3 linked regions of the Struthio camelus genome follow. The protein of the gene in region 1 interacts with the protein of each later gene in a biochemical or structural test. Links are inferred from orthologs where the notes say so. Each region holds a gene or a part of one and is shown on either strand. Other genes may lie near its edges.

Evidence for each region. The genes of interacting proteins can lie anywhere in the genome.
Region 2: the proteins of RXRA (region 1) and POU2F1 form a complex in vitro, tested with the Homo sapiens proteins (2 studies listed by BioGRID). The link is inferred for Struthio camelus from reciprocal best matches to the Homo sapiens genes RXRA and POU2F1.
Region 3: the proteins of RXRA (region 1) and TRIM24 form a complex in vitro, tested with the Homo sapiens proteins (3 studies listed by BioGRID). The link is inferred for Struthio camelus from reciprocal best matches to the Homo sapiens genes RXRA and TRIM24.

What each region holds. Positions count from the first base shown.
Region 1 is NC_090961.1:4,501,515-4,509,296, reverse strand, and holds the start of RXRA (retinoic acid receptor RXR-alpha), read left to right. Parts: upstream 1-4,698; 5' UTR 4,699-4,772; coding exon 4,773-4,830; intron 4,831-7,782. UniProt on the Homo sapiens protein: Receptor for retinoic acid that acts as a transcription factor.
Region 2 is NC_090942.1:105,798,342-105,805,336, reverse strand, and holds the start of POU2F1 (POU domain, class 2, transcription factor 1), read left to right. Parts: upstream 1-3,898; 5' UTR 3,899-3,969; coding exon 3,970-4,033; intron 4,034-6,995. UniProt on the Homo sapiens protein: Transcription factor that binds to the octamer motif (5'-ATTTGCAT-3') and activates the promoters of the genes for some small nuclear RNAs (snRNA) and of genes such as those for histone H2B and immunoglobulins.
Region 3 is NC_090942.1:64,646,374-64,654,005, reverse strand, and holds the start of TRIM24 (transcription intermediary factor 1-alpha), read left to right. Parts: upstream 1-4,535; 5' UTR 4,536-4,610; coding exon 4,611-5,004; intron 5,005-7,632. UniProt on the Homo sapiens protein: Transcriptional coactivator that interacts with numerous nuclear receptors and coactivators and modulates the transcription of target genes.

The DNA of each region.
Region 1 (7,782 bases):
CCAGCCTCCCAGAGGTCATCGCTGAGGGAAGTTTACTGGGAACCAGCAGGATTTGCAGCTCTTTCTGGCTTTCCTTTCCTGATCCTTACAGGTTTGGGGCCATGCCAGGGGCAGAGAAGTTCATCCCTATGTTGAAAACACAGATGCCACAGGGCTCTTGCAGGTCAGGGGCTGTGACTCTAGGAAGGTGTTATCTGCATGTTCCCTTGGCCTCTTGTCCTGTCTTCCTCCACGAGGTGCACGTGGAGTGTAGTAATGGTCTGTTCTTGTTTAGGTCTCATCTACAAGCTTCCTTTAGGGTTGAAACTTCCTAGAGTTCATGAGAGGGCATCTGTCCGTTGGATGTAGGTGCCTGTCCCTGTGCCAGGTAGAGGGATGTGACTCTGGAACTGAAGAAGCCAACTGTTGCCCCACCAGCAGCAGCTGTACGGATGCATGGCTAGAGCCGAAGGCCTGGCCCGGGGTTCAGGAGATGTGCTATGCCCCATTTGCACAGCATTTCTGGAGCGCGACAAGACCAGAGGAACACCTCTGTAGGGGAGGAACACCTTGCAACAACCGCTCAGGACTGCTCCTGTCTCAGCATACAGCTCCCCTTGCGAAATGATAGCTAAATCTGACACCATCATCATCTCAGCTCCCTTGTTTAGCCAGGCATTTCGTTTAGAGCCTCCTGGAGGCAGGGAAGCAGTTGACCTGCTAAACTCTTTCCTGTTGCAAGTAGCTAGATTATTATTTGGTTGGCTCTGAGCAGAAGTGCTGGGATTCTTTGACCTGAGCCTTTAAATGAATGGACAGTGTGTTTGTAAGATTAGCAGTGGCAAAGAAATGAAACAAAACCTCCCGTTCAATTAAAAGGCAGGACTGAAGCTCCGTTGCTCAGTTTTCAAGAAGCTCTTAGGCTAAGCATTGATAAAAGCGAACCAAAGCCCAACAAATCAAACATGAGAGGCTGCATTTCACAGAGAGCAAAAAGTGCAGAGCCGTCACCAGCAACGCACCAGATCCCCAGGGAACAGGGATAAGTGGTGCAGGCCGGTATCCCCAGCTGACAGGACTCAAGACAAATCCCAGAGCGGCAGAGAGAAGCTGAGAAGTCATTTTGCCTTCCAGGGGATGTTGGATCATGTTTCACATCAGCCGGTCAGGGGATCAGGGGCTGCATTTCCCAAGCCAAGAAATCCAGTGTGCTGGTGGGAAGGAGAGGGTAGCAGACATTTCTTTAAGCCCACGTGAGTGTCCCACAGCCCAGAATTGGTGGAAGATGCTCCAGTACCAGTAGTCTCTCCCTCTAAGGAGCTTTGTCCAAAGGATGCAGAGGACCCTGAGACTCTCTGGATTTGGTCCAAAGCACAAGAGATGGAAGGGAAGTCTTTATTCCACACCAACCACTACAGGTGCATGGGCCAGCCAGCATGGGCTGCTGCAGAGGCTGTCCTTTGGGACTAGCCCTTGGTTTTGGACTTTACCTTCCCAGCTATTTACCCGAGACTTTATGTGGAGAAAGGGAAGGCTCCTTCCTACCACCGATTTTTAATCTATCACCCCCTGCATCAGCTTGCTCTGAGGTGTCTCTTAACCAGGGTGTTCCCACTGAGTTTAGTGAGAACATTTGAGAAGTCCTTTGAACTTCAGACACAAAGGAGATGGTAGAAACGTTCCCTGGAGCTATTATCAGCTGACGTCTGGGAGCTTGGCAGAGCTCTGGTGTCAACGAGACAAGCAGTTGAAAGAAGAGGAGGTGGGAAGCCCAAGACACCTGCAATTTGGTTGACAAATATTTATTTGGAAGTGACAACTGCTCTTTCGGATGAAACAGAGCTAGCAGAAGAGGGATTGCAAGGGAGTGACAGGGTGTTATTTTTTTTAAAGGTTTACCGTGGGGATGTTGAAACGAACAGCTGATGAACCAAAGGGTGTCGAAACGCGCGTTGACTTCCCGGCGCAGGCTGTGGGGGCACGTGACGTCACGCGACGAAGTCACACGTCCCGTCTCCCCTCATCGCAGCGCGGGGAGGGGCCGCGGGAAGGTTTTGCAAGCAGCTGCCCAGCGTGAAATGAATGAGCAGGAGGCATCTGGGCGTGCTGGGCAAGAGGAGCGCTCGCGGCCGGGAGGCCCTACATTAATCCATCCCTAGGCTCTGGGGTCACAGCTCTTATTGGTAAGATGTGAAGGGATGGATTAGGAGCCAGGGAGGACACAACAGCCCTGCGATCAGGATATGTTATGGATGACAAAAAGGCCAAAGTTTAATTGTTCTCTTAAAAAGGAGAGGAGAAGCGAGGGGAGGGGGAAGTGGCTCGGGGCTGAAGGAGCTCTCTGGCGCGTGGTTTCCAGGTGTAACGCTGATGGGCTGTTTAACCTCGCTGGGTCTTGGGGCTCTGATTGACGATTTCATGGTGCTTTGAGCCGGGGACAGGGTGGATCAGCCGAGGCAGTAACCTTGTCAGCCCTCCCCAGCTGAGCGGTCCTGCTCCTGTGCGGGAAACGGGCCGCGCTGCTTCAGTGTCTCCCCTGGTTGCTCTGGTTTTGCCTCAAGATATTTGGTCTGGAGAAGAGAAGTGGGACATGCTGGATGTCAGACCTGCGTACAAAGGGCTTGTCTGGGCATGGGGGCTGCCGCGGGATGCAGGCAGCAGGGACAAGCGGGCTTGGCTCGCGCGCGGTCCTTCCTGCCCCTCACCTCTTCTTCCACTCCCTCCTTCCTCTTTGAAAGCCTTCCTCAATGTCTAAGCTTGGGATCCACTGCTGTCATTTAAACCTAGAAACAAGGCACAGCCTTTTAGGTGCTTGAAGTCAGGTGCCACGCTGCTGTTAGGATTGGAGTTTTGCATTTCCCCGGGGCGGGCGGGGAGCTGGTGCCCGTGACCTAAGTCCCTGTCCCAAAGGTGCCAGCACCGCTTAAGCTGATGCTGGGTCCTTTACTGCCAATGTATACAAGGTTTAGAGATGACAAATCAGGCCATATCCGTGAGTCAGGCGGTTCTGCGGCAGTGTCTCCCGGCTCTGGGGGACGCGGTTGTTGGCGGTGCTGAGATGCAGCGGGATGCTGGGCAGCTCCCGGCACCGAACCCCCTGGGCTCTGCCTTGTCCGTAGCTCTCCTGCTGCTCAGTTCCTTGCAAGGCGCGTGCTGCTAACGGGCCGGTCCGCGTGGCACGGCAGGACTTTGCTGTGCTGCTGCGGCCCGGGGCGCTCTGCGGGTCTGGGGTTGGCCGTGCCTCGGTCGTGTCTCTCTCCAGGCTGCAAGCCCAGGTGGATGAGTGATGCTGGGAGCTGGTTTTCCTGCTGCGAAGCCTTCCCTGAGGCTGTCGCCTTCGCTGCCCCCGATCCTTGGCCTTTGTGCAGAGGCCTAGGTTGAGCCAAGCGCTTGAGGTCTGAGCTCTCCGGGACGCTGACTGCCGGCAGCAGCTCTGCAGGGGCTCTTGGCGCCCCGTGGTTCTCCCTGTGCCGCCTCGGAGAGAGGAACCGCCTCTTCCCCCTGCCTCCCCTTGCTTGTGTTTGCTGCGGCCACATGTGGAAATGGGTTCAGTGAAATCAAACCTCAGAAAATCTCCCAGCCCAGTCGCCGGCTTTGCAGCCGTGGGGGTGGTCGGAGGAGGTTTTACTGCTCCAGCAACGAGTTAGCTCCGTTGGGGAACCAAGCAGGCAGGCTGTGCAGGAGCAGGAGAGGAGAGGACGTCCCTTCTCCTCCCGTGGGGTCGGCCGCGGCCCCCGCGGGCCCCCCGCTCGCTGGGGAGCTTGCAGAGGCAGGAGGGGGAGGGAGCCTGCAGCCTGGGAGATTAATAATAGAAACGCTGGCATCCGTTTTAGATTAGCGAGAGAAAGCTCAGTACCCGTCTCACCCAGCCTGCAACTTTAATGCTGAGATAATGAGCAATGATATTTATTTGTAAAAGATCTTGAGATAACACCGCCCAGAGCGCAGCCCGTCGCCGACAGGCGCTGGGCTCGTCCCCGCAGCTGCTCTCCGAGCTGTAACCCCGGAGCCGTCTCCTCCGACCGGCTCGCTTTGCGTTACGCGAGCAAGGCTGGAAGCGCGCCTTGGAGCCAGGGCTAAGGTTTGCGAAAGCTGCGGAGTGATTTGGGCGGGCTGAGCCGGGAGGCCTCCTTGCAGAACGGCCTCGAAACGTCCCCCTCCACCTGCAGATGCTGCAAATTGGGCCGCCGGGCAGCGGCGGTGCCAGAGTCGGGCCCCCGCCGGGACGAGCCAGGCCCGCCGGCAGCGTCTGGGGCTGTGAACTTGCACCTGGGGCAAGCTCTGCCCACGAGCTCTGCGCGGCCTCCCCGCTGCTTTCCTCTCTTTCGCCTGTCCGGGGTTCGAAACAGGCCGCGTATGACTCGAGGAGGGCCCTGGCAGGAAGGATGTGGCATTGAGCGAGGAGGTGACACGAAATGAGCCAAGGTGGCGAGGGGAGGGTGGCACCGAGCGCCTGCCGAGGGACGCGGAGCCCCCGCTTCCGTAAACAGCAGACACCCAGCCCACTGCGCCGGCTGAGATTTTGGGGCCGTTTCGGAGAGTTCGGTGGCGGGTAGCCCTTCCCAGTGTCCGTGCAGGCTCCTGCTGGGCTTGCTCTCCTCCCGGCCGGGTCGGTGCCAGGCAGAGCGTGGCAGGGGCAGACCTTGGTCCCCTGCTGTGGCGAGGGAGCCGGGTCTCTCCGGTGTCAGTGCTCCCTCGATACCCCCCCCGCCAAGGTTGTTTTCCGATTCCCTCCCTCCGGCTGCCCAACTGGCTGGGCTGGTCCGAGGGAGCGAAAGGATGCGCACACAGACATGCCCGGCGTTGTGTTGTGCAACCGAGAAGGAGCCAGGCTTAAGTTTTATTTGGCAGGTGGGTGTCCCGTCCTTATTAAACCATCCCCTGGGTAATTACGGGGTTAAGGCCTGATGAGATAATGCTTCATTATATTTGTGCTGCGGGGGGATTAGAGGCAGTGGGATTTCTCAAAGGCTTTATCTCTGCTAAAGTCCTTGAGCTGCCGGCACGTTTGCACGCTGGTAGGAGGGGTGTTGTCAGCCCTCCTGGTAGGGGGGCGTTCGGCGATGGCTTTTGGCTTTTCCCTTGGGTTAGTGGCGGGACTTTGGGAGCGTCGGAGGCTCGGGGCACCTGCTCGCGGTGCAGCAGGCCCGGCGTGAGCTGCCGCAGCGCAGGGGCAGATCCGCTGCCGGCACGTGGCCCGCGTGGCCGCCCGGGTATCGGCACGGCCACGCGGCGCGAGCCCGTCGCGTGCTGCAGGGCCGCTGTCCGTATCGCCGAGACGTCGCTCTCCCCCTCGTTTTCTGCTAGCGAGCCGGTGGCGTGGGGTGAGCCGGTGGCGGGGGCTGCGGCTCCGCGCGCACCTCCCGGCGGGCGCTTGCACGGCGCTGCCGGGAGCGATCTCCTTTTAATGCTGTTCCAGCCCTATTAATCAATGAGTTTCCCTTGCGGGCTCGGAGCCAAAGGGAGGAGAGGAGGTGACACGTACAAATAAACAAGAAGGTGGGTGGTGTGCTCGGCGGCGGGGAGCGGGAGGGCTTCCCAGGTGGCTTGTCCTGTGATTTATGGCCGGGACGATCCGGAGCCGTTAGCGCGGCCTTTGGAAGGTGTTTACTAACAGTGTCGTCTCCTGGCTGTTGCACCAGCGTGGGCTACTCGCGGGGAGTAAAAACATCCTCTGCAAACTGCTTCTGCGCCGAGACCAGCTCCAGGGCTGCTCCTACCCGTCGGGGAGCCCCGTCGGGGACGGGCTGCGGGCGCTGCAGGGACCGATGCTCGGCCCTTTCCCTGTGCCCTAGAGAAGTTCTTACGAAGGGGTTTGGGTTGCTGGAAGCAGCCAAAGGGTAAAACGTACTTTGTTAAACTCTCCGGATGTGCCGGGCTCTCCCGGCTGCGGCCCCCTCCTCGCTGGCACCCCTGGCGAGCCCGCGCGCGGCCGGCCCTGAGCCGGAGCGACGGAGCTGGCACCAGACCCGGGAAGCAGGCAGGCTGGACGCGGGCCAGGCTGCACACTTGATCCAAACACAGCTGGAGCTGATCTGATGAAGTGAGAGGTTAAGAAGAGAGCATCTGTTATCTAAAGGGGACACACAGTGGGAAACTGTAAGCTCTTTATTCCCCCCACCGCACACCCCCTCTGTTCAGTGCACCATCCCTGACTTGATTTCTTTGATTTATTAAGGAAGCCTATGCTTCCGGGGCTGTAATTAAGTGCCACTGTGTGAGCTTTTGATAGCGAGTGAATGATATAATGGCTTGCACATTCGCCGTCTGCTCAAGTGCTTTAGGATCTAGATAACACGAGGAGGGATTTCTTCTGCCTCGCAGTGAGCTGCAGCTGCTCCTGGGGTGAGTCACGGCAGGGTTTTAGCTGCGTGCAGCAGTGTCCACCAGAGGAAATAGAGAAGGATGCAGTAGCCACTTGAAACTGCGGTGGAAACACAGTTCAGGAGGGTATCAGTGACCCACGGTGGAGTTCAGTTAAGAAGGGAGTTCACATCCTTCCTCTTGCAAAGAATATCACGGCATCTCCGCTGGCCAGAGCAGGCTGCATTTGGTGCTGACTCTTGCAGGTGCCCTCATTCCCTCCTGGCCTTGCACGAGGGTAGATAGGGCTTGAGTTCCTGTAGCTTTGGAGAACGTTGTCACTGGGGGTTTGCTAGGGTCCTCCTGCGAGCTCTGGCCCACCTCTGTGCATGGACAGCATCACCGAGCTCTCGTGGCCCGCCTGGCTGAGCCAATAGCGTCCTGCCTGACGCTGCAGGTTTCCCTCTGTGCTCAGAGGAGCTTGCTGGCAATGCGCTGGTGCTGAGCCAAGTGCTGGGGACTGCCGCTGGCTGGGAGGAACCCGTGGAAAGTGTCTAGGTCTCACAGCCACTGGCAGCTGGAGGTGCTGTCAGGATTTAGCTGGAAATATTTCGTCTGCTGCACCCTGCTGCAATCTCTTGCACGCCACCTCAGCCCCCTACGAGAAGACATTTGCACAACCAAAGGGTCCAAGTAAGGGGTATCGTTTCTAGGTGGACAGAGAGAGACCTTCTACAGGCCCACAGTGTTATGGGGATGCAAAGGGAAGGGGCCTGCACTGCCTCTCCAACCAGGAGCCTGGGGTGAGTGGTGCAGTTTTCATTCCCCGTGGGCATCTCTCTCCCGCAGTCCAGGCTGTCCAACTTCAGGGGTCTGTGGCACCCTCAGCACCCAGGCCCGGGAGCTGCGGGCCACATCGGTATCTGATGTCAGTGGGTTTCCCCAGGGCTGAATCCTGCCCTGGGTTCCCAGGCCAACTGCTGAGCATGTCAGTGCCCAAGGAGCTCTGCTCTGACACACTAACCACTCAGTGAGCCTAGTTTTTAGGAAGAAATTATTTTCTTTCTAATATAAGGACCATTTTTGATGCATAAACAGGATTATTTTAATGGCTTGGCCAATGGCCACAGAAACGGAGAGCTGCGGGTTCGCAGCAGGCAGCCGCTGGGCTGCGGGCGCGCGTGCTCTCCCCCTCGGCCTCCCAGTCCGAGCTGTGCTGCCGAGTCTCCCGTCCAGCTCCCGCCAGGGTGTCACCGCTCACGCACCAGCAAGGCCGCTGCTTGCAGCGGTGTGGGTGGGAGGGGGAGGAGGAAGGGGTAAAAAACCCCTACGTGTAAATAAACTTAAAAATAAAAAGTGACAGAGATTATTTGCTGCTTAACGAACTAAAATGTCCAACCTCCCACCGAGCAGCAACATTGTTTATAAACTACAGAAAGGGCTTTATTTTAATGGGCAGTAAATCTCATTCATCCTGAGCACTGGCAGTCACGAGCATGC
Region 2 (6,995 bases), on another chromosome or scaffold:
AAGAAAACAACAAAGGGGAGGAAGGAGAGAGAGCTTTGTGGTTAAAGTGCTGAACTGCACAGCCTCAGCACACCTAGGCTGAGGTCCACTCATGTTTCCACTGTGACCCTGGAGGAACTGTGCATGATCTTTATATTGCTTTTCGTCACTTCCCCTTCTCGACCAGGGAGCTCCTAATCCTATCTTTCCCTCAGTCTTTGTCGGCCATCTCTCGAAATTGCAGGCTTTTTGAGACATGGACTGTCCTTTGCTATTTGTATCTGTAGCGTCTAAAAAAATGAGACTGTAACCTCAGTTGGTCTCTCTGTAAGGGTTTATATTACATGCGAAAAATAGTAAACAGCCAGAGAGAAAAAGAAGAATGTAACTGCAGGTGAGACAATCTAAGCAGTCTAGAGGTGAAAGGAACAGAGGCAGACTGCTCTGAAGCAGAAGTCTCCATTGCAGTATGAAGAAAGTATCTGATCAGCAAAGGAAAGGGAAAGCTGAAGCAAACATGATGCTAGAAACAGGACCTCCTTGAGATGGAGAGAAACCTGATGTGAAGAAAATATAATAGTAGAGACATTGTGTGAAAAAAGCGGTATCAGGGATGCAAATGTGAGTGGCACACTGGAACTGGAACAGAGCAGATAGTTTGTTCTTAGTATCTCTGTACAATAGAGCTGGGTGATGAAAGGGCTAATTTCCTTCCCAATCTGCTTTTTGCAAAATAATGTGATTTGTATTTCATTTGTCCCCTGCCTCCCCACCTTAAAAAATATCCTTGTCTCTAACACACTACTGAATTAATTCTAGCAGGAGAGAAAATTCAGGAGGCAATGTAACCAACATAGAAAATGTATTATAGGCACAAAAAGTAGAGCACAACAAAGGATCTCTGCAGGAGCTAGGAACTAGGAGATATCTGAAAAAAACAAAACAAAACAAAAACCAAAAAAAAAAAAACAGACACAGACATATTGCTGAGCTTTAAAAGATTTCAAAATAAATTTGTACCCTTTACAGTTGTGTTCATTTTGAACACTGCTGTTTTTTGGTGCCAGAAAATATTTTTAAAGCAAAATCCCTGAGAAAAATGATTCTGCGAGGTAGACAAGTCCGTTCAGAGAACAAAAACACACAATGTCCTGCAAGGGGCTCACTGCTTTGGCTCTGTTTTAGCAAAGCACGTAAGCATGTTCTTAACTGCAAGTATGAGAACAGCCTCATTGTCTGCAGGTGAATAACTCCTCAGAGCTACAACCTAAATATTTTTGTGAAATGAGGCTAGAGTGCTCGGCTTCTCTTACGTTAAGCTTTGTATCATTTTTGTGTCCAATTAGCTCAAATTTCAAATATTCCCAACAAGCTCCTCATGAATAAGATGCCAGAAGAAGTTTGTAGAAATCACAAGCTGTTTGCAGACAATTCACAACTGAAGTAGAGGTAAAATTTATCTGATAAATTATTCATCGCAAATGATTTGGCTGGCTTTCCTGGATATATAGCCATGGGGATGTATGACACCTTGGGGAAGGCATCAGACAGAGATATGTTCAAACTAAACTAGAGAAGAGGATGCAGATGTAGATCTAGAGCAATCTTTAAAAAGGGAGGGGAGCAGATACGTGCCGAAATGGGATGGAGTTCTCCTCTTTATAGCCAGTCCATTAGAAACACAGCATCCGTTAGTAACTACTGGTTACCAGAAAAAATGGTAACACATGGGTTTGCAGAGAGCTATTCTTTGGCAGCTGTGGGGTGCAGCTAACTGGGCAGAAGCTGAGTGAGAGCAAGGACTAAATCAGGTGTGCGAGTGGGAGCAAATTCTCCCTGAGAAGAGGCTGCTATCAGGGAGGAGGTTCCTAGGAAGTAGCCTGCAGGAGTGAGACGAGTCTAAGGGTGAGATGGGAAGATACGGGGGAGAATATTCAGCGTCGGCAGGATTAGAGCTGTGCAGAGTCTTAATCTAGCTAGCCCTTTCTCTACACCTTTATCTGTCGTGGTGCAGCCACTGCGTGCAGCAGGGCTGGTATAACCTGGCCATAAAACTGGATTAACTGGCCTGCGAGGATCACGCCTGAACAGAAGAGCAGCATGACAATATGCTGTTGTTTACATTTTCACTTCTGTGAGTTTAAAAATAGATCTTCTGAAAGACAAAGTGCTTAATTACTGGCATGGAGTATCATCAAATGAATGTGTAAGTATAGAATTACAGTGTTAGGGAAAGGTCTCTGCTGTTTCATAGCACAGTCCATTTCCACTGGTGTTTTCTGCAGTATTGGGAGGTTATTTTATGATATGGAAGAATCCTCCATTATCAGAGAAAATTATTTTTAAATAAAAATGTGCAAATTACCTTTCTGATTGAGCCTGCACAGAGAAACCCTGCTGTCTCCCTCCCTCAGCCTTTCCTTTTTGGCTCTTCTAGCGACTGCCTCTGATACAAGTCATAATTTTCTCCAGCAAAGCAAGCAACGGTGGATTCTTGCCACTTCTCTGATTTCACAAGGTTTTAAGCCCCTCAAGAAAGTCTGGCTTGGACTCTGACGCATTGGAGTTAATGAGTCTTGGAAAACGGTAGACTAAGTTCTTAATGAAAACTATCCTATATCTTCTATTCCCTTTTTTTTTTTTATCATTATACAAATGTACATTACCAAGCTCAGGAATAATATATATTTATGCAATCTAACGCTTAAAAATATTAGCATGTTTTATTATTGCTCTGCCTAATTTGTCAAGTATAAGCAACACTTTGTTTCTTTAGCCTATTTAGCTTATTGCTTGTGCTGATTTGGAAGTTTTGAACCTAAAGCTGATTTTATTTGTGGGTCCCTCTGCTCTCTTAGTGTTTGCTGTACACTCTTTTAAGGTGTGTGTTGGGGGGAAGCACAAAGCCTGACTCCCCTTTCCTTTTGGGTTAGTCAAATTTGATGCAGAGCGTGGAAGAGGAGAAAATACTCGTTTGAGAAAGACACCGCAGGAGCTTTGCGCTGCCCAGGACTAGGGATGCGTCAGGGAGGGCTTCTGAAGAGGAGACTCATCTCCTTGTCATGGCTCTTCTCTGAAGGAGTAACAGACCACGGACCACGGCTGACGCACCCCTCCTCGGCACAGCACTGAGGGTCCTGTTATTTCATTTCTTTGTATTCGATTCCTTTTTATTCACAGGGGATTAATTTTGCTTGCAGCTCGGGGAACTACCTGTCTGGCAGATAACAGTTATGACGGGTGTTTCCCCAGAACAGCTCTTCTTGAAATGCCGTTTCCAGCAGCCTCACGCTTATATTTGAACGTGTTTGCGTCCAGCCGCTCCTCTTTTATCTACCGTGATTAACTGTTTGTGCGGCTCCCGAAAGGCCCGGTGGCCGAACAGTTAATAAAAAACGGATGAGGCAGGGTGGGAGTTGTTCCCCGTTGCGGAGGGCGGCTCCTGCCTGGCGCCCGCGCTGTGCCCCCGGCCGGCGGCGCCGCGACGCCCTCTCCCCCGCTCTGCGCCATTCGCCGCCCGCCCGGCCCCCGCCAGCCCCAGTGCGCAGGCGCCGTGTCCCCCTTCCCTTCCCTTCCCCCCCCCCCCCCAAGCGCGGGGAGGCGGGGGGGGGGGGCTGAAGCGCTGGTGCGCGCGGCGCGGCGGTTTACACGTTAACGAGGCCTGGGCCAAAGGTGAAGGGAAGGGAATCCAGCGCCTGCGCGGTGGCGCGCGAAGCTGGGCCGGGGGGGGGGGGCGAGCGAGGTAGGCGCATGCGCGGCGGCTGTCGGGAAAGCGGCTGGGGCGGGCGGGAGAGGAGGAGGAGGAGAAAAGAGGGGGAAGAGAGGGGCGCGCGCAGGCGCAGAGCGAGGCAGCGGCGCGGCGAGTTGGCGGCTGCGCGGTAGGGGCGCGGGGGGGAGGGGGGTGAGCGGCGGCGGGGGGAGGGGAGGGGGAGGGGAGGAGGGAGCGAGGGAGGGTTTATCGGGCGGCCGATTTTGGTTAAAATATTCAAAATGGCGGACGGAGGAGCAGCGAGTCAAGATGAGAGTTCGGCGGCGGCGGTGGCGGCAGCGGCAGGTAATCATTACTGCATTTTACATATTCATATTCATACTCGCACACGCGGCCCCCCCGCCGCCCGCCCGCCCCGCTTAGCATAATTTATTAGTACTCAGGATTATTATAATTAACGGCACAGGAGGGAGCAAGGAGGGAGGGGGGGGGAAGAAGGAAAGCAGTTTCCCCGTGCGGGGAGACACACACACACGCGCGCACACAGACACACACACACAGACACACACACACACACACGCACACACAGCGGCACACACATACTCACACACGCTCCCTCCCTCGCACTCGCGCCCGCCCGGCCGGGCACCGGCGCCGGGGCAGGCGGCGGGGCCGTTGGGGGGCGGCGGCGCGGGCGGCGGCGGCGGCAACGGCAGCGCCGAGGCGGTGGGGTCGGGGGGGGGGGGTGAGGTGACGGCGCGGGGAGGGAGAGAGAGAGAGCGGCGGCAGCAGCAGGGGGGAGGAGGGGGCAGCGGGCAGCCCCGCACCAGAAAGCGGGCGGCGGCGGCGGCCAACCGGACTCCCCCCCCCCCACCCCAACCGCCGGCCCGCACGCCCACAATAAAAGCCGCTTTACATATTCATGGGGGGGGGGGGGGGAGAGACTGGGGCGGCCGCGCTGCGGGGTTTGGGATGGGGGGGGGGGGGGGAAGGCCGGCGGCGGCGGCCGCCTGCCGCTGCCCCCGAGCGGGGCAGGATCCGCCGCTGGGGCAGCGTGGAGGAAAGGGATGGAAGTGCGCGCCTGGCTTGGGGGTGAGGGGGAAAGGCTAGGGTTTCCCCCCCCCTTCCCCCCAGCTGAGGTTATTTCCCCAGAGCCTGAGGCCTGCAGGCGTGGGGTGGATGGGTGCGGATGGCCTCAAGGAGGGGGTAGGGCGAGAGAGAGCTGGGTTTGGATGTTATTTAAAGCTTCCCCCCTCTCCTCTCCTCCCCTCCCCCCCCCGCCAAGGGTAGGGTTCAACGTGGGGTGGCTCCTCTTGGCGGGGTGGCGGAGTTTCTCCGTGGCCCCCTCTCCGAGGCGAGAGGCAGGCTGTTTGCAGTGGGGCGGGCGCGATGTGCCCACCCAGTATTTGCCCTTCTGCCCCTTCAGACTCTCGGGGGCTGCGGGCGCCGCGGCCGGGGTGCCGGGAGAGCCGGCCGGCCGGCCGGCACGGGGGTGCGGGTCCTGCTTCTTTCTGCCTCTCTCCCTCTCTCTCTCTATCTCTCCTTCTCTTTCTCATTTGAATAATGTCTAATTCGGGGAGGTTTATATTATTGAAATGGCCGCCTGGCTTTCCCCGCCTCTCATGTTTAGTAATTCAGACCTTTAATAACAGCCACTCAGAGCCCAACGCCGTGTTTATATTTTACATTCGCCCCATGTGCTTTTGTGGTTCAATATGATTCTTCTTTCTCGCTCTCTTGCTTTTTTTAAATTTTCTTGGCAACCCACAGGGCCCCGAGATCAAACCCAGGCTGTGTGAGGAGAGGAGGGGGGAGAGCTAGGCCCTGGTTCCTCTGGCAGGCGCCTAGGCCTCACTCTGCCGCTTGATTTATTTACTAATAACCAAAATGACCCCCCCATCCCCACTCCACCCCTGCCAGCAAAAACAAAACCCTCCTGGGGCTTGAGCAGCATCAGATCTGCTCATAGATTCTCAAACACTCATGTCTTTTAAATAAGAAGCTTATTTTTAATTTATAGCAACTCAGGACTGTAAAGCTGTTCCTTTCATATCTGCTCTTCAGAGGCTTGGGCATTTTTGGTCCCTTTGTCCTTGATTCTTTTCCTTAAAGGAGAGTTGCTTCTAATTTACGTTTCCTGGCACTGAGAGAGCTATAGAAGACACACTCAAAATCTAAACAGCTTTCCTCCTTCCTGTGGACACAAACAGAATTGAATACATTGAAGATAATCTTATTCTCCTTTTTGCTTAGTGTGGATGCAGTTTAACAGTGCTGTGTGTCAGATGCTTTTGTCACTGCTTGTATCTTTGACCATTCTGAGTTTTTTTTTTTTATTTAGATTTGGCTTCCATGACAGAAGATGCTACTAGGCAGTACAGGGTCTAGAAAGCAAGATAAGTTTTTTTTTTTTTTTGTGTGTGTGTGTGTTTGTGTCATAAGTTCATCAAGTGAAAATTGAAATTAATCCTCTTAAATTGTCTGGAGTAATTCTGTTCTAAAGTAGATATTAGGCTACTTAGAAAACAGATGAACTACTTTTTTAGCAAGAGGCAGTAATTTTTTAAAATTCATTTATGCAGGTATGGCCTTCAGATAAAACTAGATTTTTTCATTAATGACCATTGTTTCCACCCTGTGGAGAAAAAGGACCTGACAGCAGGGTACTTTTAAAGTGGCTGTGCCAGATTAGCATGTAAACGTCTTTGAAGCATGACTAGGTAGAGAGTTCATATACATGTGCAGCCAACATATTTTGTAGTTTGGTTCTAAATTTAATTTGTTACAAAACACTAGATTGTAGCTAATGAAAAGCATTTTGATTTCAAAAATAACAACTCAGATTATTTTTCCTTTTTCTTCACCCTTGGTGAAGACAGGCCTTGAATACTATAAGAAAAGATCTGTAGAAGAGAGTAATGAGACTGTTCAGGTGACTGACTGTTTCACAGACCAGCAGCACAAGGCTGGCTGGACAAAAAGCAGTAATATGATTTCATGCCTTAAACAGCATATGTTTTTGCACTCGCTTCACAAGATGTGGTCAAGCCGATGATGTCATTGGCCAGAGGACAAGGTGCAGTTAATTTGATTTATTGACCTGGGGTGAGGTGTAGCACTGAAACCTTCTCATAGGGAAACCATTTATCTGAGGACAATTTCCTTTATAGCAGCAATTTAACCACTGCTGAGACTCTAGATGTTTTATCCAGCATGATAAAAATGTACATTGCATCTTGCAAACAAAATTTCATTCTCACTGACATTTTAGTAATTTTTATGGAATAGATTACTGGATAAGTGGCCT
Region 3 (7,632 bases), on another chromosome or scaffold:
CATAGGCTTGTTGATTGAAGGCGCGATCTATCGTTCGTTGCACGTGCTGTAGAAGACAGGGAAACAGGCACAAACAGACTAAGATTATCAATAATATAATTAAGCCACTCTTCACAATGGTTAAAAACCACCTTGTGATCCCCCATCCTGAGAATACTCGTCCCAGCCAATCATTGTCGTCTAACCTCAACTTCGCTACGCTCTCTTTCAACCTCAGTATAGTGTCGTGAATTGGTTCCGAGTGATCTGACAAATTCATACAACACATTCCTTCCAAAATCTCACACCCGTGGCCATGCGCCAATAATAAAAAATCTATAGCTGCACGATTCTGCAATGTAGCATGTCTTATAGAATCAACATTGGTAAGCAGCCCTGACAGTGCCGTTGCAGTATTATTAGTCTGATTGGCAAGCCAACACCCTAATTTATTTAAGGCTGCTAAAGCATTTGCAGCAGCCACCCCAGGAGTAAAAATGGATGCCGTAATAATCTCTCCTGGGTTCCAGAAAGTAAGATAATCTCTACAATCTTTTTGAAAAAGATGTGTAGATCGTCTAGTGCGATTTTGTCGTTTTTGTAGAATCATTGTCGAATTGGGCAAATACATTCCCAATGTTCTTACGGTACACGGACCACCCGTGACGCGAGATGGGATTCCCTGCCAGGCACGATTGCTGCAGATCAAAAACACTCCTTGTGGTAATTTCAAAGGGTCGTTCCTGGATTTAGAAATGTTTGTACTAGTTACATTACACCATAAAGTTGTATTGCGATAAACAGCTAAAGTAGCATTAACAACAGTGATTCCCCTTTGAGAGGAATTTTGTCCTGTATAATTGAAATATATACATTGATCCATCTGCACAGAACCTAATAACTCTATTTCTTGTGGTTCCCCAGGTAACACCGGTAGGTAGGGCGTCCAACCATCCCAAACATCACCCCACCGACTACAGCCCGTTAGGGCGGCAGGGGTACCATTACAAACTTGATATACTTTTCCGTCTGTTGGAAGACCCACCAGACAAGTTTGAAAAGGGTTAGCAGCCGAAGCCACAGGCAGGCAAACAGTGTCCTGTCCTGTGGCATTGGCTATAGTTACCCAAAGATCAGGTCGTTCGGAGACAGAGGGCCACATCCCTTTGCCCACGTCCGTTGTTTCTCCAGACATAACACAAAAGCATATTATTGCAGGAAATAACATATTATTTCCCAGAACTACGCCACGACTTCTTCAGATTCTCCGCTACAAAATTGGCGTGGTACTTCATAGGGCTTAACACACCGAGCAGGGAACCAACGAGGCTGGGTACCTGTAGAAACACAAGCATAACCCCTCCCCCAAGTTATCAGAGAAAAAGGTCCTTTCCATTGGCCGGAGTCCAGATCACAGATCATAACTTGTGCCTGTCCTGAGGGAAGAAGATGTGAAAAAGAGTTAAGATGGGAGGCAACAGGGGTCTGCTCATCACGGACCCGATTCAAAAAGTTAAGGACATACAAGGCCTTTGCCACTCTCTCTTGAGGAGTCCCATACCCCTCGGTTTCCCCTTTTTGTTTAGAGAGCATCTGTTTCAAAGTACTATGGGCACGTTCAATTAAAGCTTGCCTGGTAGGGTTGTGTGGAATACCATTTAAATGTTGGATTCCCTAGGCTTGAAGAAAAGAACGAATTTTCACAGAGACATATGTGGGACCATTATCAGTCTTAATGGTATGAGGCACACCCGTAAAAGCAAAAGCTTGCGTCCAGTGAGCGCAGACACCCCAAGCGCGCTCTCTGCGATGAACACTGGCAAACAGTAAATTAGAATAGGTATCCAGAGAAACATGGACAAAGCAAAAAACACCAAAGTCCGGGATGTGAGTAATATCGGTCTGCCATTTGTTTTAATAGAATTGTTCGAGCTTCGGAATTATCCACTTGTCTTTCCAATGCAGTATGAAGGCGATTGACAAACTGCCTTTAGTTTTCAGTAGCACCCTGCTTGATCGTCTCAAATGACTTAGATCCTTTCCCATTTTCATCAGGGAGGTTTAACAATGCTCTTAATGCCTCTTCTTGACTTTGCGCCAGCGCCCCCCGGAGAATGCATAACTGCGCTGTATGTTCCCAATAGGGGCCTTCCCCCAAAAGTACCGCGGTGCCTACTCCATACAACGGATCTCCTGGCTGCCGATCCAAATTAGTCACAGCCGCTTGATCACAATTATTCCGCCATGCCTGCTGCCATAACATATACTGCGTGGGGGTCAACAAAAGCTGAGTCAGCGTACAACAGTCATTAGGTGTTAAAATCATATTATTAAAACCCGATTGTATCAAGCCCCATGCATAGGGAGAGGCAAGCCCAGAGCCTTTGATACTTTTTCAAAGTTCTTTTATTAAGACAAAAGGAAAACCTTCCCAAGTGGGGGCTTGACCTTCGCGCAGGAGGACAGGCATTGTGACGGCTTGAAGGCACTCAAGGTCTCCTTCCGCCAATGCCTGGGCTCGCGCTTCTTTCCATCGATCTACTGGAGGTACAGGCGTAACAACCGGCGTTGATATAACAGGTTCAGGAGTTTGCGGAGGAAATAGATCTGGTTCTTTCTTAGGGTCTACAGGGCCAGGATCCAATGGCTCCGCAGGTTCACTGCTCCGCATAGGAGGAGCAGAAGGCGTTTTAGCTGCCTTCTGCATACTTTCTTGGTGATTCTGATCTAATGCATTAAATACAAGTCACCAAGTAGTTAAGAAGGAAGGGGCGACGGGATCATCCGAGGCTGCAGCATGCCACAAACACACCCCAATGGTATCCCAAGTCCCCTTACTATATATATTACTCGTATTAGCTTCGTCAACATGCGCTGCAATCCAAATTGAAAGCTCCTTTTTCTTCCTTTACAGTTACTCGCCGTTTCTCTAAAAAACGCTGCATAACCTTGTACACAGATTTATATTCTGATGATACAGAATTCCCCATGTTCCCAGCTGCTTACCTTCCGTGAAGGTAATGGTAACAAATGCTGCGCAGCCTCTATCGAGTTCAGCTGGGCTCCCCACCGGATTTCACTCTTCAAGTCCCTGTTTGGGCACCATTTGTGGGGATGAAGACACGAACCTTGCGTATGGTGAAGCAAGATTATTTATTTCACATTTCGTCCTCTCTTGCATACCGGACCCTTATTATGTAAGAATACAGCTGTGTTTACTGATTACACTTGCTTTGCTACATTAATAAAAGCCGCGTTCTGCACTAAGATTATCTTCCCTCTCTCACGTCCTTGCCCTAGTTTCAATATCTGCATTCTGATGGCTCACGGGCACCTGTCCGTCTTGGCACTGACACGAGTCTTCATATTATGCGCGCTTTCCCAGGGCTTCTGGCACTGAGGGAATACTTTGTTGCTCCTCCTAATCGTCTTCTGGTACGCATCGCCCCCCCGACAGCAGAGCTGTCGAAGAGTTTGCATCAGTTTACTGTTGACTTGTGACCAACACTCAAGCAGTTATTTTACGTCTGCATGTTTTCTTAAGTAGCAGAAGGGGGATGAGCATTTATTTCAATAAAATGTTGAGTCTAAATCAGATTTTACAGTTTACTTTTTACTGATTGCCTCTCAACTTCAGAGAGTTATTACACCCGCAAATGGCTGTGTGGACAAAACATGCCAAACTGACCAAGTGCCAACATTTACACAGACAACCCACACATAAAATGAGGGACAAAAACAACCTCTTTAGTGACTTCTGAAGGGAGGGCAAAACCCTCTGCCCCAAATTGAGTCTGGAGGACGTGGGGACATGGCTGCCCATTTGGCCCCGGTGCCAAGCGGCTCGGCCGCCCGCGTGTTGACACGCACACCGCAGCCCGGCGGAGGGTGAGGCGAGGGAGCAGCGCCGGATTGTCCCTCCTGGTGTGACGCCTCACGCGCCGGGCCCCTCACCGAAAGGACAAGGTGGCCATTTGAGGTCGGGGGTGAGCAGATAGGGGGCTTGGGCTCGCTGAGCTCACTCAGCTTGCGCTGAGCGGGGCAGGACGCCCCTAAGGCGGGATGTGTGGCTCGGGGCGGGGTGGGGGGATGGGGTGAGGGGTGGCAGAAGGCCCCAGGGGAGGTGGGTAGCCCTAGGGCCGCCCAGGGGTGCGAAGGCGGGAAGGGCCGCGCCAACCGTCCGCGCAGGGGGCGGGGCCTGGCGAGCGGGTCCGTTGGGGTTCGGCGGGGGCGGGAGAAGCGCTCGGCGCACGTAGCCCGGCAGGGGGCGGGGCCGAGGGGGCGGGGCGCTGTGGCGAGGCGCGGCGGCGGCGGCGGCGGGGCCGAGACCGCGGGCCGGGCGGGCGGGAGGGGGCGGGGCCCCGTGGTGTGGTGGGAGGGGGGAAAGGGAGGCGGGGCGGTGGCGCGGGAGGGGAGGGGGCGGGGCCTGGGCGGCCGTTGGCCATGTTGCGCGGCGGGTGCAGCCCTCGCCCGGGTTAGGAACACAAACAGCGCGGCCCGCGCTCGGGGGCGGGGGTCGGCGCGGCGCCGCGGGCGGGCGGACGGGTGGGCAGGCAGGGAGGCAGCGGCAGCGAGGGCAGCGGGGCCGCCCCGCCTCCCCTCAGCGCTCCGGCGGCGGCTGGTGCAGGACAATGGAAGAGGCGGCGGTGGCGGCGGCGGCAGCAGCAGCGGTGGTGGTGGCGGCGGCGGCGGCGGCGGCGCCCTGCCCGGCGGATCGGGCGGCGGCGCTGAGCGGGGAGAACGAGGCCGAGAGCCGGCAGGGCCCGGCGGAGCGCGGGGGCGAGGCGGCCCCGCTCAACCTGTTGGACACTTGCGGCGTGTGCGGCCAGCCCATCCAGAGCCGGCGGCCCAAGCTGCTGCCCTGCCTCCACTCCGTCTGCCTCCGCTGCCTGCCGCAGCCCGACCGCTACCTCATGCTGCCCCCCGCCATCCCCTCCCCGGCCGCCGGCGTCCCCAAGGAGCCGCCGCCCGCGCCCCCTTCCTCGCCGGGCTCGTCGCCCGCCTCGCCGCTGCGCTGCACGCCCGGTAAGTGGCCCATCTGCCCTCGCCCCCGGCCTCGCGGGGGTTAGCGCCTCGCGACAGGGCGAGGCGCTGTCGCGACGGGAGTTTGGGCAGCGCGGGGCGGGGGGGAAGGGCGGGGTGGCGGGCGCGGGCAGGTGCCGGGGCGCGGAGGGCTCCGCGGGGGGCTTTGTGCCCAGCCTTCCCCCCCCCCCCGCGGCGCCAGTGGGGGCGCTTGGGATTTTGATTTTTTTTTTTCTTTTTAATTTTTGTGTTTAAATCTCCCTCTTCGCTCGGGAAAGCGATATATCTGCACTTCCTCAGGACCTCGCTGTGTGGGTGGAGGGGAGCGGCGGCCGGGCTCCCCGCCCCCCGCAGCGCGGGACCGTTGTGGGGCGCCGCTACCCCCCCCCCCCACCGCCCCCGCGGGGGCTTCTGCGTGCTGGAGGGATTTCCTTCGCCCCGTTTCCGAGAGAAAAAAAAAATCTTAATACGGGATGCTGTGGGGAGCGCAGAGCAGAAGAACGTACCGGTTGATAGCCAGGATCCTAACCGACTTTTTGAGTAATGTTTCTGGGCTGGTAATTTGGGAGGATGGTGCCGCAGAGGTCAGCGAGAGGGACGCCCTGCAGGTGTCATCCCTTTTTACAGGGGGCTTAGCCGGAGGGAGGGTTCAAACACTTAGACGGTAGGAAGCAGGAGCGAGCGTTAACACTTGACACTGTCCACGTGATTGGTAGACTGGGTAGAGCTGGTAATGCATTTATTTACAAGTTGCTTAACTGTCACTTTGAAAGGAGAACGCCTTGAGGAAGTTTTGGAGAGCACGTGTTCTGAAGCAGTGGCTTGAGTGGATGTATTTAAAAAGCATTTTGCTGTAGAGGATATCTATGGTAAACTACTGCAAGCTGAAGTTACTTTTGTGATGTTCCCTTCTAGCTGTCTTTGATTTAGCGAGTTGCTTTATTTTGTTGAGTGCAAGTTCGTCTTGGAAGAACGTGCAAGCAAGTATCCTCTAGCAGAAATGGGTGAAGATCCTGGAGTTTTTTGCATGGAAAAGAGAAGTGATTCAAATCGAGCTTCTCCTTAGGAATTCATGGATAGTGGTAGTTTGCTTACAGGGAAGTATAGTGGGAGGGTCAAGGGAGAAATCAAACATGAAGAGAACAGTAACTCCCGATAAGTTATCCTTGGGTGAGTGTTGGCCGTTGTCCTTTGGGCATATTTCAGAACTGCAGATTGGAAGCTTTTCCCATGCTGCCAGTAGTTCTGCCCAGAAGGACCACAACTTGAACGTGCAAAAGTTATTTAGCTAGCTTACAACCATTGCGATTCATAGAGGTATACCTTGAGAGAAAGGAGTCTTTGAGACAATTGGGAGAGACAACTTGCTTCAGAGTATCTGAGATCGGGCCTGGTTAGTTTTTTATTAGCCTGATATGCTGAGCCTCTTTATCTACATGGATGTCTGTGTTGTGTAGGAATTTTTTTGTTTGTTTTAAATAATACTTCTCAATAGTCTTTAATATTAGTATGCAGTTCGTGTAGTAGTCAAACTGCCTAGCCAGAGATTCCAGAATGGGAAAATCTGTAAGACCCAAACCCAGTGCATTTAAACTTGGCTGGCATGTGAGGTGTATTGCTCATGGTAAGTCTAGGAGTAAAAGAATTGTGAAATCCTGCTTAAGAAGAACTGAAAAGCACAAAGTGTGGTCGATGATAGGATATTTGAAGATGAAATGCTTGGAAATGAGAAAGAGGGCAGAGAAGCAGCTAGCTGCTGTTGTGATGTAGGCTCAGAGATCATATAATCACTTTCTCATGAGTTTTGAGTCATAAAGGGCATAGCTCAATTCACAGATGTCCTGTTTATATATAGCAGAACTAGAGGTCTGTAGCTGGGGTAAGAAACAAGATCCATTGTAAGAAGAAAAGGTTGGTGTTGTTCAAAGATCTAGTGAAGAGAGGACAAATGGTAGAGATGGCGGGGGAGACGGAGAAAAATAGAACTACCAATTTACTATTGCCACCTCGCTCATTATTCTGTCTATATGAGTTGGAACAGTGGGAATGAATAATACAGTGTATGTACTTCCGTGTTCTACAAATTTACAGATGTAACATGTTCAGTGACGTTATTTTTACCCTATCATCATCTTTTGCTAGTTACTTGCATGCTTCCATGCTATTTTTCATCCTCCAGTAGAAAGGAGGAACTTCTATTGAACTCACACTCTCCTTGACAGATTACTTAGGTCTTCTGCTGTCACTGTTTTGGTCTTGTTGAAATGGCAATGGATTGTATGCTAGCTAACTAAAGTTTGACTTGATAATGTGCACTAGCTGTTTTGTTTTCCAACTGATATCAAACAGTTGTAAACTCAGTTTAGGATTTAAGAAATGGTGTCACTGTTTACAACTGATTATACTGAGGAGAAATGTGTTACGATGGGAGGAGTTCCTAAATTCTCAGAAAGCAGGAGGGACAAAACAGTGCAAAACTGTCATCTCTTCTGGTAATGTGCTGTGTGAGGTATTTGAAGAACAAACTGGAGGAATAAACCAAAGAACATAGGCTTAGAAAGTTGGACAGTGAATGCATCTCATGATGTAAATTATAAAATACTGTAACACTAAGTAAGGGACACAATAGAA